Linked DNA regions of Alligator mississippiensis. The protein of the gene in region 2 purifies or fractionates together with the protein of the main gene of each other region. This does not show direct contact. Links are inferred from orthologs where the notes say so. Each region holds a gene or a part of one and is shown on either strand. Other genes may lie near its edges.

The links. The genes of interacting proteins can lie anywhere in the genome.
Region 1: the proteins of TBPL1 (region 2) and GTF2A1 purify together in Homo sapiens (affinity purification with mass spectrometry; 5 studies listed by BioGRID and IntAct, counting the BioPlex papers as one, with this or other methods). This does not show direct contact. The link is inferred for Alligator mississippiensis from reciprocal best matches to the Homo sapiens genes TBPL1 and GTF2A1.

Annotation. Positions count from the first base shown.
Region 1 is NC_081825.1:266,198,156-266,205,553, reverse strand, and holds the start of GTF2A1 (transcription initiation factor IIA subunit 1), read left to right. Parts: upstream 1-4,385; 5' UTR 4,386-4,465; coding exon 4,466-4,564; intron 4,565-4,575; exon of another isoform or gene 4,576-4,595; coding exon of another isoform or gene 4,596-4,598; intron 4,599-7,398. UniProt on the Homo sapiens protein: TFIIA is a component of the transcription machinery of RNA polymerase II and plays an important role in transcriptional activation. TFIIA in a complex with TBP mediates transcriptional activity.
Region 2 is NC_081824.1:116,440,658-116,448,133, reverse strand, and holds the start of TBPL1 (TATA box-binding protein-like 1), read right to left. Parts: upstream 3,018-7,476; 5' UTR 2,807-3,017; intron 1-2,806. UniProt on the Homo sapiens protein: Part of a specialized transcription system that mediates the transcription of most ribosomal proteins through the 5'-TCT-3' motif which is a core promoter element at these genes. Seems to also mediate the transcription of NF1. Does not bind the TATA box.

The sequences.
Region 1 (7,398 bases), on a different chromosome or scaffold from region 2:
ACTTGGGATTAGTATGAACTGTGGGGATTTTTGCCTTCCTCCAAAGTAGGGGGCATAGCCCTCTACCTGGGACATCCTGAGTGTATATACAACATTTCATAGAAGCAGGACAGTGGCTGCAATGCTTCAACTGCTTTATGTGTGGCAGGTTAGAGTGCTAGGTCTATGTTGTGTCAGGGCTGACAGCAGCTTTATATAGAGTTTAGATGATGGCTTGTATGGGATGTGATAGAAAACCATGATCCTGCCTCAGGCAGGGCAGTTGAAGTAGATGACCTCTGGAGGTCCCTTCCAGCCCTACTTCTCCATGACTATGACTTGCATGACTATACTTCCCCATGTTGAAACCAGAACACCTGGGTGAGATTTTACTAGTGTTCAGGGGAGTTCAATTACATATGCAAAAACATATAAGAAAAATACACAATATAGTGACATGCTCTTAATATGACTTTAAAGAGACTGAATGGATTTGACTTCATAAGTTAGCCAATACAGTAGCTTCCCCCTTACAAACAGCATAAACAGTGAAAGTATGCACTTACAATAAAGTGGTTACTGATGTTTTCCTTGTCTTGCTGTCCTTCAGGGTGTGAAGTTGCTTGTTGCCACCTTTATTTCTCTGATGATGCTATCTTTTAGAGGGCCTGCTTGTCTTTCAGCAGCTTGTCACAGAACACAGTACAATCCAGATCAAAATTAATTCACATAGCCTTCATGGTAGAGACATGCAGATGTGATTTTTCAGGAGACCACACATTGTTCATTCTAGAAAACACACATTGAACGGGGGGCGGTTGTGCCCAGGAAACGCAACACGAATTCCACAGCCTTAGCTAGATCTGCATATTGTACTATCTTGCTGTCCATCTCTTGAAAAATGCACAGCCACCTTTCAGCAATGGGAATTCACTGATGGTTGCAGTCAGAAAGATGATGAGATGATTGATTTTGCACTGGCTCACTTAAAAGGGCAATTCTCATCCAACATACTTAAGGTAGGAATTCTAGTGTGGCATGTAGCGAAGCTGTCTTATATTTCATCCCACACTGGCATATTGCTTGACAGGGCCCACTCAAGCTTTTTGGCACGCTCAAAAGCAGGTTTCCAGTACTCCAAGTAAGACAGGCATTGTAAAATTCTGCATTGTAAAATTCTTCTTCCTTCATTTGCTGACAATCTACAAGAGACTGCAGTAGGCTCTTTGCTTTTGTTGGGACAAATTGTTGTCTAAGTCTCTCTGCTAAGTTATCCCACAGGGAATGTATCTGCAAAGCAACTTCTGTCACTGACACATCATTTTTCTTAATTGCCTCTATGTTCTTCTGAAACATGGCTGTTTGTTTACTGGCAAAGGCAAGCTACAATTTAGTGCTAGGGTCATTGAAGACTTCTTTTAACAGTGTCAGCCATTTCTCTTGAGAAAGGAAACATGCTTTAAGCCCATAGAAAATCAACAAAATTCTATCCAGCACTGGTCCCAGTGACAAGATTTGTGTGCTGCTGTGCTGTAGTCATTTAAAATACTCAAGACTGACAAATTGGCAGAAGTCTTTCAGCTCTTCAACTCTTAGTTTGGCTTGGAGTTTTTGCCACAAATTGTTTTTTCCAGGATGTCTGGCACCACCAAAGTTAGTGTTGGTATTGTCTGCACAAATTCCAACGAGCTTTGCACCAAGAGAGTACTTCTCAATCACTTGCTAGAGAAATGCCCGCTGCACATCAGATGTTTCACCCAGTAGAAAACTCAATTATTATTTTTGTGTTGACTCCCCTAATTGGAAGAAAAAAGCATACGAGAACAGGAAACAGCTTTTGCTCCTTTTTGTTCGATGCATCCACATTAAGCATAATAAATGAGCACTTCTCCAAATCACGATGCACTTCTTCTGTTGATAAAAGAGCTAATACATTGCAAATTATTGCCTTGGATTTTGTGTGAGCAGATGAAAACTTAGGTTGGTAGAGTTTCTTAATGTGATGTAGTCACTTGACCCAAAAAGGTGTCCATGACACAGAGTGGTAAGCAAACAGTCCCTCACTGGCAAAAATGTGACTAACAAAAAGCCAATCACATTTTTTGTTTTGCTTAACAAAAATAAAAAAAAAAAAATCTGAAATGCTTGGAGTTGCATACTTAGTACTTTTGGCCTGTTTTTTTGTTTGAAGGTGCTGAGTAATGTCACAGCAGCTGCCACAAGTCTTGCAATTAAAGAATTTTTTTTGAAAAAATCTTGTTGGTCTAATAAAATGTATCACCTCTACCATGAACCCAGATTGCTTTCTCCACAAGTCTGTCATACAACTTGGCTGATTTTGTAGGTCCTCCTTACAGGAACAGACATGTTTGTGACATTTTATAGCAAACACTACTGATAACTTCTGTAACCTCATGTGTTGCAGCTGACCATGCATTGTATGTGCACCTCATGTGGGTAGATCCCAGAGCTGCCGCCGTGCGCTGCCATCACCTATTGTAAATCAAACCAAGTGGTAAAATGTTGGGATGTTATTGTGAAATGGAGGGAAGGAAAAAAATGCAATTACATCTCTTTTATATGTAATGCCATGTGAAAAATGCTTTACTGAATATGCAATACTTCAGCTGGCAAAAGAAAACGGGACAAATAGCCAATTAAAAAAAAGTGGGGACACCTGGGATAGGGCTCAAATAGGGGACTGTCCTAGCAAAAAGGGGATGTACGATTACCTCGACCAGGGCTCTTCCTGCCAGCTTCAAGTTGTGGTCGCTTGTTCTTGTCTTGTGAGAGCCAATAATGACTCCCCACTGATTTTCTCTTTGCCATGTAGTTTTGTGAACCCAAGTCCCCCACTAACTGCTGGGATCTTCCCTCTGCCTGGGCCCTGCTGGCCTCCAGGGGGGAGCCTCTTCCCCTGCTTCCCTGCTGCAGCCCTGGGGCCTAAGGGCAGGCACCCCAGGACTGCATGCATGTAACAGTGCAGCTCCTCCGCAGCTGGGGTTGCCAACCCTCCCGGATTGGGCAGGACCCTGCGGGAATCAGCCGGGTGACTACTGAAAGCAATCCAGTCAAAGGGCCACGGGGTGAGCCCCTACTAGGCTCAATACGGCCGGGCGCTACATTGCCCGGCGCCGTCGTGGAACGCTAAGTCGCCGCCGCGTTGACGCGATCAGACGCGTCACCAGTCGCGCGCGCCAGCCCAGCCGCGCTCAGCCCCCAGCGGACATATCCACCGAGGCGCCCCGCACCGCGCACTTCCGCCTCTCTAGGTGTCATGGCGGCCGCGCCGCCCGTTTCCCTCCCTCGCACGTGACCGCGCGGGGGCCGTGCTCCGGCGCCAGCTCTCGCGAGAGCTGCCCCCCTCCCGCGCCCCCGCGCTCCCCGGCCGCTCGCGCAGCTGCTCGGCTCTCGCTATATAAAGGGGCAAAGCGGGCAGAGCGGCGGCTGGCGGCGGCGGCTGCAGCCCGGGGCCGGGAGTAGAGGCCGGGCCAGGCTAGGCCGCGGCGCCGCCCGGGAGCCAGGGCTGTGCTGGGCATTAAGGGGGCGGCACCGGCGCCGGGCACGTCTCTCGCTTCACGGGGGCGACCGCGGCCGCGGTGGGGGCGCCCGGGGGGCGCGGGACATGGCGAGCGCGGCCAACACAAACCCCGTGGTAAGCACCGGGGGGGCCGGGCCGGGGCGGGTGGCGGGCTCGGGGCCTTCTTCTCGTCCTCCTCCTTCTCCCTCTCCCGCCCGCCGCCCCACGAGCCCGCCCGGCCCGGCCCCGGCCCCAGTCGGCTTCCCGTGGGCGGCGGCTGCTTGGGAGCGCCCGTCGGTTTGCAACAAGCAGTCACACACCCCCGGCCCCGCGCCCCCTGCCCCAACGCACCGCTCCGGCCCGGCCCCGGCCGCGGCCCCTTGTTTGCGCCCGTCTCGGCCGATCCATCATGGCTCCCGCCGGCCTGGCTGCTCCCCCGCCTTGTGTTCCTCCTCCCTGCGGCGGCCCGGGTTATATAGAGCTATTGCCGCTCTCTAATATAGACTCTGCCAGGATGGGAAGGTGCTTTCCAGCCCCACGTCACCGCCTCTCCATTTAAACACCGCGGCAGCCTTTAAATAGGGAGAGAGAGAGCGCCGCCGAGAGCGGCGGGCGGGCGGGGAGCTGCGCGCAGCCCACAGCGGCCGGGGGAGGCGCCGGCTCCGGCTCCGGCTCTTTGTCACTCGCCGCTGCCCGAGCGGCCCCGCTCCGCTCCGCTCTCGGCGGCGGGGTTTTCTCTCCCGCCGCGTGGCCAGGCCGCTACGGGCTTCCCCCTGGAGCGGGAGCGAGGCCGAGGCAGAGGCAGCGCGGTCGGAGGGTCTTTGTTGCAGGGGGGATGGAGCTGCTGGGGCAGGCGGCAGGGGAAGGCTCCTGCGGGGGGAGGTGGTGGCGCGGCTGCAGGTATTTGACTGCTGCCTGGGAAAAGGCGAAGCGCTTGAGACTCTTTTCCCAGCTCTTCTGCCTTCCATGATAGCAGCGGTTCGTGCCCTGCTCGCAGCAGCAGCGCTAGAGGCGGGGAAAGGAGGGAGACCTGGATTGTTTGGCGTTCTAAATCCCACGGAGCGGGTTAGCTTTTTAGGGCATTGGTGTTTCTAGAATGGTAAAGCTGTTATTTGGTGTTATATCTATTTCTTTCTCTCTGCCTCCTCTGCATGCCCCCCCCCCCCCCCCCACACACGCACACTGATCTGAGAAGGTGATCAGTCCAGTAAATGCATTCAGTCAGGGTGTAAAATATCAGCTAAATCTTAAGAGCACCAAGTAGGATCCCATGAATAAATATAAGGAAAACAAAAATGAAGGTAGTATGCCTGTATTTTCTCTTCTGTTGTAGAGCAGGTTTGTAAAGATCTAAGAGAAAAGGCCTTCACTCTGAAGGATTTGCAAATAACTTTGTTGCAAAGCCCCAGTAACACTTGATTTCTCTGCTGTGCAAAGCTGGGCAGCTGTCTCCATCGCTTGGTACAGGTCTATCCTAAGAAAAGTCCTGTTAGAAAATAAAGCTCCGTAATGTGTGATTCAGGTCACCCTGCCGGTTGGTGGGAGGTGAATGGCTCGGTTTCGTTTTTCAGCTGAGAGGTGGTTTGTTGGTGATGGTTATTCAGTCGGTAATGTTATCTTTTAGAGTGCAGATCTATAGCCAATAATAGAGCTGCACCTTTTAACATCATAATGATATTTTGAACAAAACCAAGTTAAAGAACATAGCCAGTTCATAAGCTGGACTTCTGTTCTAAATTACTTCAAAAAGCCTCTTAATGCTTTGGTGTCGTTAAATCATCATCAGTCAGTTTTCTTGCTCGTTATGAGCCAAATGATGTATTTTCATTTTTGGCTTGCATAAATAAGCAAGGACTCTGTAGCAAGTTGTTATAGCCAGTTTGTTTTAAAGGAGGTAGGATAGCTTGAAAACTAGTTGGCTTGCAGTCAGATGCACAAAATCAATACAACTATGTCTTTCAGTTACAGGAATCTGAGGGGTTGTTTGTAAGAGTAGCTGCATACAGATTTTTTTTGGGGGGTATCCTTTTAAAAAAAAAGGAATTTAAGAAATGTAATCTCAAAATGGCTTGCAGTACTTAAAATGACTTGGTGTGCATTCTTTGGATTCTGAAATATTTGAGCTCATGTAGCACACCATATTCAAATGAACTGCTGTAAGTGCAGAGGGAGGGAGAGATGGTCAGTTTTTTCTATGCTCAGCAGAGGGAGCACCAGTTAACAAACGTTTTGTATAAATATATGGTTATATAACCATGCACAAATAAGGAAATAAGAAAATTGTAAGTCTCATTAGATCAAGACAGACAAGCTATAGTCAGTGCTTGGAACAGAGCTTGCCAAACACCTGCAGATCTAATTTGACTGTGATACATTCACTTATGAACAGCTTAGGTTCGCTATTGATGTACCTTTTACAAGGCAAGTACTTTATTCATTCAGAATGGGTGAAACCATGATAATTTTAACTGGCGTCTTGTAAATTTCTGTAGAGAGTTTTTCTTTATTGCCTTGATTTCCCTGAAGCTTTGTCAGATGGTGTGTGACTTCACAATCTAGAAGTTAATGTGTAATTATTCCTGTAGCAGTAGTAATAATGGAACTGCCCTGGTGTGGCTGGTTGCTTTGGCAAACTGCTATGCAAAAACAGTCTTGGAAAAAAGGTGTTAAATTCAGAGGGAAAAAACGGTTTGCACTCATTTGGTCCTTAAAACCAGTTTTATACATACTAGTCAGCTTGTGCAGTTCAGTGCATCTCTTGAGAATGCTTGTGCCATTAATAGCTAGAATTAGGCCTAATGTACGTGCAGAGAAGAGGATGAGAGAGAGGAACAGATGGTCTTTACTTACAGTATTTGAAATGGAGAGGGAAAGAACTGTGGGGAGGGAACAGATTTCAGAAGTTACATTTCTATTACTTTTTGACTAGAACTCTTTCTACTGAATTTTCATGATCAAATAGGAAAACCTGGTTCAGGTCTGTTCAATAATACTTCTCTCAAAATTGGCTTCAAAGCGAGCAAGGAGTATATGGAAGGAATGTTTGTCACTTAAATCTGGGGGCTTGGTATACCTAAACTGAAGTTTGAATAACCTGTTGGTATTATACTTGCTAATTTTTACATGGAGTGAGGGACACAAATTAAGTTTGCCTGCTTTGCTTCTTTGTAAAGATTATACATTGAAGCTATCCTTTATACCCTGTTCTTTGGATTTGCATAGGCTAAATGGTATTGGAAAACAGCATCTTGTGATGTGTTTTAACTTCTCCCACAACTGTTCAACAAGTCATTGCTGTCCTTGGAGAGGACAGTTAAAGGGGATAGTGACTTTCCCCTTATGTACAACATAAACAGCCCATACCATTCTTTCTGAATAACCTGCATATTTAAGAACACATGTACTGGGCAGCTTGTGATTAATACAGAAGGGAAAAGTAATAGCTGACTCTTCATAAAGAAAAAAAACTTCTCATCATAAACAGATCAAACATGATAGAGCAGTGGTGTTAAAATGCAACTTTTGTAATCATGTAATTAATTCACCTAATACTTTAATTTCTGAAGAACTTGCATTCTTTGATAAGACTAGCTACTCATTTTAAATCAGATAATTTGGACCCCAGGCCTGCAAATGATTATGCACACATTTAATTTGAGGCATGTGAGTAGTACCTTTAGTGACCAGACCCAAACAGGGTAGTATTTTTGGTTAGCTTTAAATTACTACAGCCTCAGTTATGAAATAAAAATATCAATGGCTCCTTTGCTCCGGAACTAGTTCATATGTATATACTATGTAGCTTGTTAGCTTTCAGCTTGCAATTCAGTATATTCACTTTACAAAGGAACCTTTGTTCTTGTTTTATTAGAACAGTGGCTCTCAACCAGGGTGCCATG
Region 2 (7,476 bases):
AAACAGAAATAAAAGTTGAAACAAAGAAATACTAAAAATCAATTACTTTTCTCCATTTACATTGTACATTTGTTTTGTTCTTTATTCATTTTGCTTGCTCCAAAGAAAGAACCAAGTCAGTTTTCAAAATCTCATGCAAGTACATATACAACCAAAAGTTTGTAATTTTTTAAAAATAGTGAGCATGAGGATGCCTTTCTTCCCTCCAAGGCCTAACATTCCTGACACTATCCCAAAAGAAAAATATGAAGGAGACATGCTAAGCGCACTAGAAAGGCAAAGCTCATCTCAGTGACAGCTGACTAAAAAGTAGCAAGTTTCCTAAAATGAAGCCAAGACAGACCTCCCATCCCCCACTTCAAAAAAAGAAAGTACTTCTTTGGCAGCAGGTGAAAACATGATTCATATCAAGTAGCACTCACAGACCCTGCATAGGACTTAGCCCCATTTGTAAAGCTGCTACAGAAATAAAGTGAAAGACAAAGATCTTGAAACACTTGTCCCTCAAGAAGAAAGCAATGTACAGTGACCCAAATGAGTGGTAATTAGCACAGAGTGTACAGGTTCTTCTCTGGATGACTGACAGTCATATCATCAAAAAATTAAGATTAACTACTTCAAGACAACATTGTACATTCCCCCTCTCCACAATCACCAAGAGAACTGGCAAGCTCCAGTGACAGCACCTGCCCTGGGGGCAGGCCATGGACACCTTTGTCCACCACCCAGATGCAGCAGTATCTTCAGCCTGTCCCTTCTGCAAAGAGGAAACGGAGGAGACTGCTCCATGCTTTCCTGGCCTGCACATGGCTGTGGCCACTCTTTGCTGCCCTCTTTGGTGCACTGGATTTGGCCTTCTCCCAGACTCTACATTTCCTCTATTCTGTACCAAGCAGCTGAAGGGATCATGCTCTGCCTGGCCAATTTCCTGCTGGGCCAGGCCAAGATGGAGAGCCTGAATAGCCACAGAAGCCAGCTCTGACAGCACCCTCCAACTGTTCCACTCCTTGGTTCAGGAGCGCATCACATTTGAATCTGGACACATCACCTTGCAACAAAATGTGGACTAGTTTATGTCTCACTGGGCTATTGAGGGGGCACTCAGGAAGACGGATGGCTAGTCATACATGTGTAACCCCATGAAGGCTATTGGGAAAAGGGTATCTTAATCTCTGGCAATATGAATGTTTTCATTACTGACAAGTGTTTCATGCTTGGACCCTGGGAGGGTCAACACACACTTTTGCACTTTCACCTTCTGTTTTTAATACTTATAACAGAGCTTTAAAAAAAAAAAAAAAATCAAAAGTCTCTCTCTCTCATAAAGCACCAAACAGCAATAAAAGGGGGTCCCATTCTCTCCTTTCAGATAGATTTCTAAAGTTTATTTTTAGTGTCCCAAGAAATGGGATTTAAAGACATTAGACAAGTCCTGAAGTTATGTGATCTTGCTGGCAAGGAGACATCCCTCAAAACTTGGGAGCGTCAGAGCTACTGGCGGGTTTGGAAGTTCTCTGTCCAAAGCCATTTCCTAACTTCCTGCCACAGGAATGGCACTTCACACCTTTTCTGTGGCAGTTAGTCTGCTATGAAAGGAAAGGTTATTATGAAGCAAATGTCCAGGTCTAGCAAGGTTTACTCTGCCTCCAGGCAGTGAATATTTTCTGCTGAGTGAAGACCAATTATATTCCAAGGAAAACCTCAGCACTTATGCAAATTAAGCGCCCAACTAGAGCAGTAGTACTTCTTTACAAAATTAAGCAAGCATTAATCCCAAGACACCATTTAGTTTTGGTGTTATTTCCACTGTGCCAAGTAACTGCTGCTGTTTTAATCACTTCCCCATATGGACAGTGCAACACAATGACAAAACCAGCCAAACTCCCATTAACTAAGTTGGCTCAAGGCGCACCTCAGAAAACGCCAGTTTAGTCTTCACTTGGTTTTTTGCTCGATTATGGGAAAATAACACAGCTGTCCTTCTGTTGCAGAAATCTCAGGCCACAGCAGGGCTGGATTTTAGCTTTTTGCGCTACAGCTTCTGATTTGAAATCATTAGATGTACCTTGGGAACCACGTCTGTGCAGCTAACGGGTGCCAGCAATATGTGGCACCTCTGGAAGGATCTCCAGGCCCCCGGGGAAGGGGGGTGGGAGGAGGCTGCCACCTGCCAACGAGGGCGAAAAATCCCATCCCGCGGTTCTGCTGGTCCCACAGAAGACTCCCACAGGACACTCTCCTCTCACAATGGGGGACCCTTCCCACAGGCGCCCCACTGCCCCGCCTGGAGCCCACAGACCTTCCGTTTTATTATTCCTCTCTCGGTGGCCTCCCTCTTGAAGACAGGCTTATAGTTTTTTTTCTTGGGGGGCCCACGTTCCCTGAAGACTAACAAACAGGCCTGGAAGGCACCTCAGAGCACTTGTGCACCATGCCCCCCTCCAGCTGCCAAGACCCTGCACGGCCCTGCAAAGGTGCCCTCCCCCCTTCCCAAACTAAGAACTATCCCTGCACCACCCAGGCTGCCCCCTGGCGCCGAACGCCCCTGCGCACCCCGCCCCCCCGCACCAGTTGCCAGGCAACAGCCGTTTCGCCGCGGGGAGGGGGCAGGTGCTCCGAACACTGCCCCCGTCCCCCCGGGCGCGCGAGGCCATAACCGCCCCCAACGGGCCGCGGCGGCGCCCGAGGAGGGGGAGGGGCGGAGGGAGCGGGCAGGCCCGCCATCCCCACCCCCCGCAGTGCCAGCACCGGGCCCGGGCCCGGGCCCACCCGCGGGCCCACAGGGGAGGGAGGCCGCGGCCGTTACCGTGTGGGCAGGCGGCGGGCGGGTGGGTGTCGGCGGCGCGCGGGCCGGTTGCTACGCGCCGCCCCGCCCCTCGCGCCCTTTGTTGTTCCGGGTCCTGGGCCGCGTCGCGGCCACAATCAACATGGCACAAGGCTGGAAGAAGAGGGAGAGCGGCGATCATAGAGGCGCGGCGCCGGCTAGACCGCCCGCCGGAAGAGCCACCGTTCTTCCAGCCCCGCGAGGAGGGGGGTTGTCACGCACTTCCGGCGCCCTAGGCTCCGAGCCGGCAGCTCGCAAGCGTGACGCGAGACGCTGCTGGGGGGTGGGGCGGAGCTTGCGGCCACCGGCTCTAAGCCCCGCCCTCCGCGGGGCTCCCGGGCGGTGGGCGTGTTGCAGCCCAGTCTTTCCGTGCGTGTGTTGCCTGGTGCGGGCTCGGCGCCCACTCACTCCTTAAGGCCTCTGGTACACTTTGGGCATATGTGTCATGTCACGGAGTGGTTAAAAGCACAATAAATGGGGACGAGCCCCTGCAGAGTGGTCGTGGCACCATAAGAATGGCTGTCCAGCTACAAAAAATCGCCAGGCCGTCAGAAGGCGCCTGCATGAAAATCACCTAGAGCAGCGGCGGGCGATGATTTGGGCCGCAGGGCAGTTTTGATAAGCTGTTGCAGGCGGTGTCGGCATCCTTCTACCTTCCCACCTCAGAAAGCTCACCAACAGTCCCCATGGGGCTGGGGCGGGCAGGGAACAAGTGTTTGGGGGGTAATGCAGGGCTAGGTCATGGGGTGGCGATTGCTGTGGGCTGGGCCCTAAATGTCCCTGCCCTGGGGGGGCCTGGGAGCCTGCAGGGGGTGAAAGGGGGCAATGGGAACCTGAGGCAGTGGGATCCATGGCTACCCTATGGTTCTACACAGGGTTAAGTCCTGCCCACTTGTGCCAGGGCAACCCTTGCTGCACTCCTGTTGGTGTCTCCTAGGATGGAGAAGCCACAAGATGTGTAACAACTCTAGCCAGTTTCTATCCAACTTTCATTTGAATATGGATCTGGGCCCTTAGAAAATGCACCCTCTCTCCCCCTTATCCAAAGGTGAGAGAGGCAAGGATGCATTTGTGATACCTGTATTGTTTTGCATACAACACCCTCTCCCAAAACCCAGCTCTTGGAAATTGTGTGGGTGTCATAAATAAGGAAATACAGTAACAGCAGTTCTGCCTTGGGGAAGGCAGAGAGGAATGAATGCCACCATGTTTGTGCTGGGGAGGGAGCAGGGGCAGGATGGTTAACACAGTACTGCTGGCTGTGGGCATGATCTCTTCCCCATTCTCGGTGAAGACTCCTGCTGCAGAAGCTGCTGCTCAGTTACATGGCTTATCAGTACTTTTAAGAAGAGATCTTCTTTCCCCTTCATTCTGCCTTTCAAAAAACAAGGTGTCTCTCATTTGGGAGCATGTTGTATGTGATAGAATATGGTATCTTTTATTGGCCCAGCTGAGAGAGAAGTCACTCAAGCTTTTGGGCACAGGGCAACTGTGCAGTTGGTCTAATAAAAGATACCACCATAGAACCTTGCTTAGTGTCATAGGCGATGTGTGTGTTGGGGGGGGCACAGGGAGGCACGTGCCCCCCCCCGAGAGTGGCCGCTGCTAAAGCCACTGCTGGCTTCTGCAGGTGGTCGCCGCCACCCCTTGCTACTGATGCAGCCAACAGTATGGACGGCAGCTATGGGTGGTCCCTGCTCACTGCCTGCTGCTTGCCCCCCACCCCTGTGCTCGCCACTGACATTGCTGCGGCTGCCTGCTGGCAGCCTCCGCTCGGCCCACCCCCACAGTCGACACCACCACTGCCGCCTACAGGTGGTCGCCATGCCACCCCAGCCTCCAGGGGCACATGTTGTTCATGCTTAGTGTCACCTGCAGCCAGACTTAGGCTGCTCTAGTGTGACAGCAGTGTTGTGAAGGCACTGGTGACAAGAGTGAGGGCCTTGGGCTTCCATCTCAAAAGCCTCAAGAGATTAATATTCACTTGCTGATGTGCCACTCTAAAATGTAATTTAGACTCAAATTATAGCAGGAACAGCAGATTCACAGGAATAAGGTGGGGATATTCTGAATACTGTAGTAAGTGGTTATTAACATTTTTAGGCCCAGGACACCCTTCATTAGACTCACAGAACCTCTCAGAAAGTACCAGCTCTTAGTTTTCACTTATTTTTTGATGACGGAAAAGTAATACAGCAATGTTTCTATTGCAAAGAACTCAGAAAGACTGCAAGAGGTCAGAATTTTTTAACACTGTGGATTCTTAACTGAAATTTCTGGGTTTAATTTATGAAACATGTTTGTGCACCTTAAAGTGCTAGCATGATGTTGCATACTGCAGCAGCCCTGAAAGGCACCCTAGGATGCCATGGTACCTTGGTTGAGTATCATTGCTGTTGTACTTAGGAAATTTGGAGCTCAAGGTTCCTAGGCTTTTACTCTAAGTTTTGCAATGGACTTGGAATGTCCTCTGGAAAACTTCCTGCTCTTTAATTTACCCTCCTGTGAGAATAAATAGACCAACAATGTGTAGTGAAGCTTTGGACTTTAATTTTTTGAGCTTAGAACCTTTGCAAGATAGTATGATTTATTTGAGGTTTCCTGAAACTTTAGTTGTATAATTCTGTGCTTGCCACCTAAGAAATGATACAGAAGCAGCACTGATTGTTTACAACAAAGGAAACAGATTTACATTTGTCGTGCTGAAACTCTAGAAAAAATTGTGTTTTCTATTTTTACTTTAGTTCTTAACCTCTAGAATATATTTTATTATATTAAAACAATTTCATGGTGTCAGGAATAGTTTTTCCAGATCCCCATTTCTAATCTTTTATCTAGACTGGGAGAATGTTAATTAAAATATTACTTATTATAGTGATTATTAGCTTTTGCTTGCATTGATGATCATGCATAGTACTGCCACCATGTGGCTAGTAGCATGAATAGAACTTTTATTTCACTTAACTAAAGACAAAGAAGCGTTTGAAAACAAAATTTGTTATCTTGCGGTTCAGTGACACCCTAGAGAATCTCTCACAGTTCTCTGGGATCTCTCATGAGGCTGGTGTCTTTTTCCTTATTGATGGTCATCTTCTGTGTTGCCTTTAGGTGTTACAAATAAGCCTTCAGTTACTACACTGATTTCTATTGCACCTTCTGTGAAATTCAGTGATTCATTCGAGGTGCTATATATACCACAACAAATATTGCTGAGTTTCAACTAAGGAGGACAAATCACCCATCTGTAAATTGCATGGCTGTCCAGTCATGTTAATTAGAAAGGGCAATAAACTCTGGTTTAGCTAAACTTTGACTTTGCTGTCCAGACCTCTGAATTTTAGCATGTTCTTCTCAATGTTTTTCTGTGACAAAAAAAAGGCTGTCAAAAATTACTCATCTTCTACAAAGCTGCTGTTATGTTTTCAGGTTTCTCACCCTGTCTTATTTTTTGTTATAAGTTTCATGTAAGGGTGGAGTCATGACCTTGGTGTTTCAAAACCATTTTTTATGATAAATGAAAATTATTCCCCACCTTATTTTGAGGTCCCAACTACCTCGTTTGTCAATGGCTCCTTAATTGTACTAGTATATTTTCAAGAGAGCCTCTAATTGTGCAGTGGTAAGGAGGCTCAGGCCCATGCATCTATAATCATTGTATTTACCAATAGGCAACTGTATCTGCAAACAATAAGGATTAGTGTGCAACCAATATTTGCGCATGTAACTTGCACATTAGTCATATAAGCACACTGGTTTACATGTGCATGTAAGTACAGCATTATTTAGACATATGGCATCTGTACATGTGACAGAGCTCTGGTCCGATGCATGCTAATTAGTACACATTGGTGCAGACTCGATTAATCAAGTTTACTGGAGCATGCTAATTAGCGTGCTCCAGCAGTCTCTACATCACGCTGGCGGTGGGGGGCACTTTAACTAAAGTTCATCAAATGAGCTTTAGTTAAAGCAGCCCACTGCCAGTTTGAAGCACAGGATGCTGAATACACGTGACGCTGCAGGTGTTTTAATTAGAGTGGCTCTGACGGCGCCCCCCCCCCCCCTTACCCCAGAGCACGTGTACAGACTCCCTTTGATGCTTAGCCAAACACAGTAAGGCTTTTTTTCCTGCCCTTTGGCTGAAATCTTCCTTTTTCCCCTCAACATCACCTCTGATTAATTGCTCTACCTGCAAGGCTTTGTGGTTGCTTTTTTCACCTATATACCTGTACTACAAAGACTCTCCACTGGAATGCTGTGGCACTTAGAGTGCCTTTTGAGGTTCCCTGGGGTGCCATATAATATTAACACTGTTAACAAGTGAGCCAACATGATTCACAAGATAAACCTAGATATTTCAAATAGAAATCCATGGTGCTAAAAATGTTCTTACCTATTTTGGTCTTACTGGGTGTATCTATACCAGATGTTTACTGTAGAGCTGCCTAATTGGTTTTGCAGTAAAATGTCACTGTTTACATGCACGGTACTATTAGGACACAGCAAACTAATTAACTCTGCCATAGGTTAGTACTTGTAAACACAAGTACTATCCTACAGTGCAACACACATGTAGACCTACCAGCTAGCCCTACACTGAAGCACCCTCATGCCTCAGCCAGCCCCTCTGCAGCATGTTGAGCCAGGCCAGA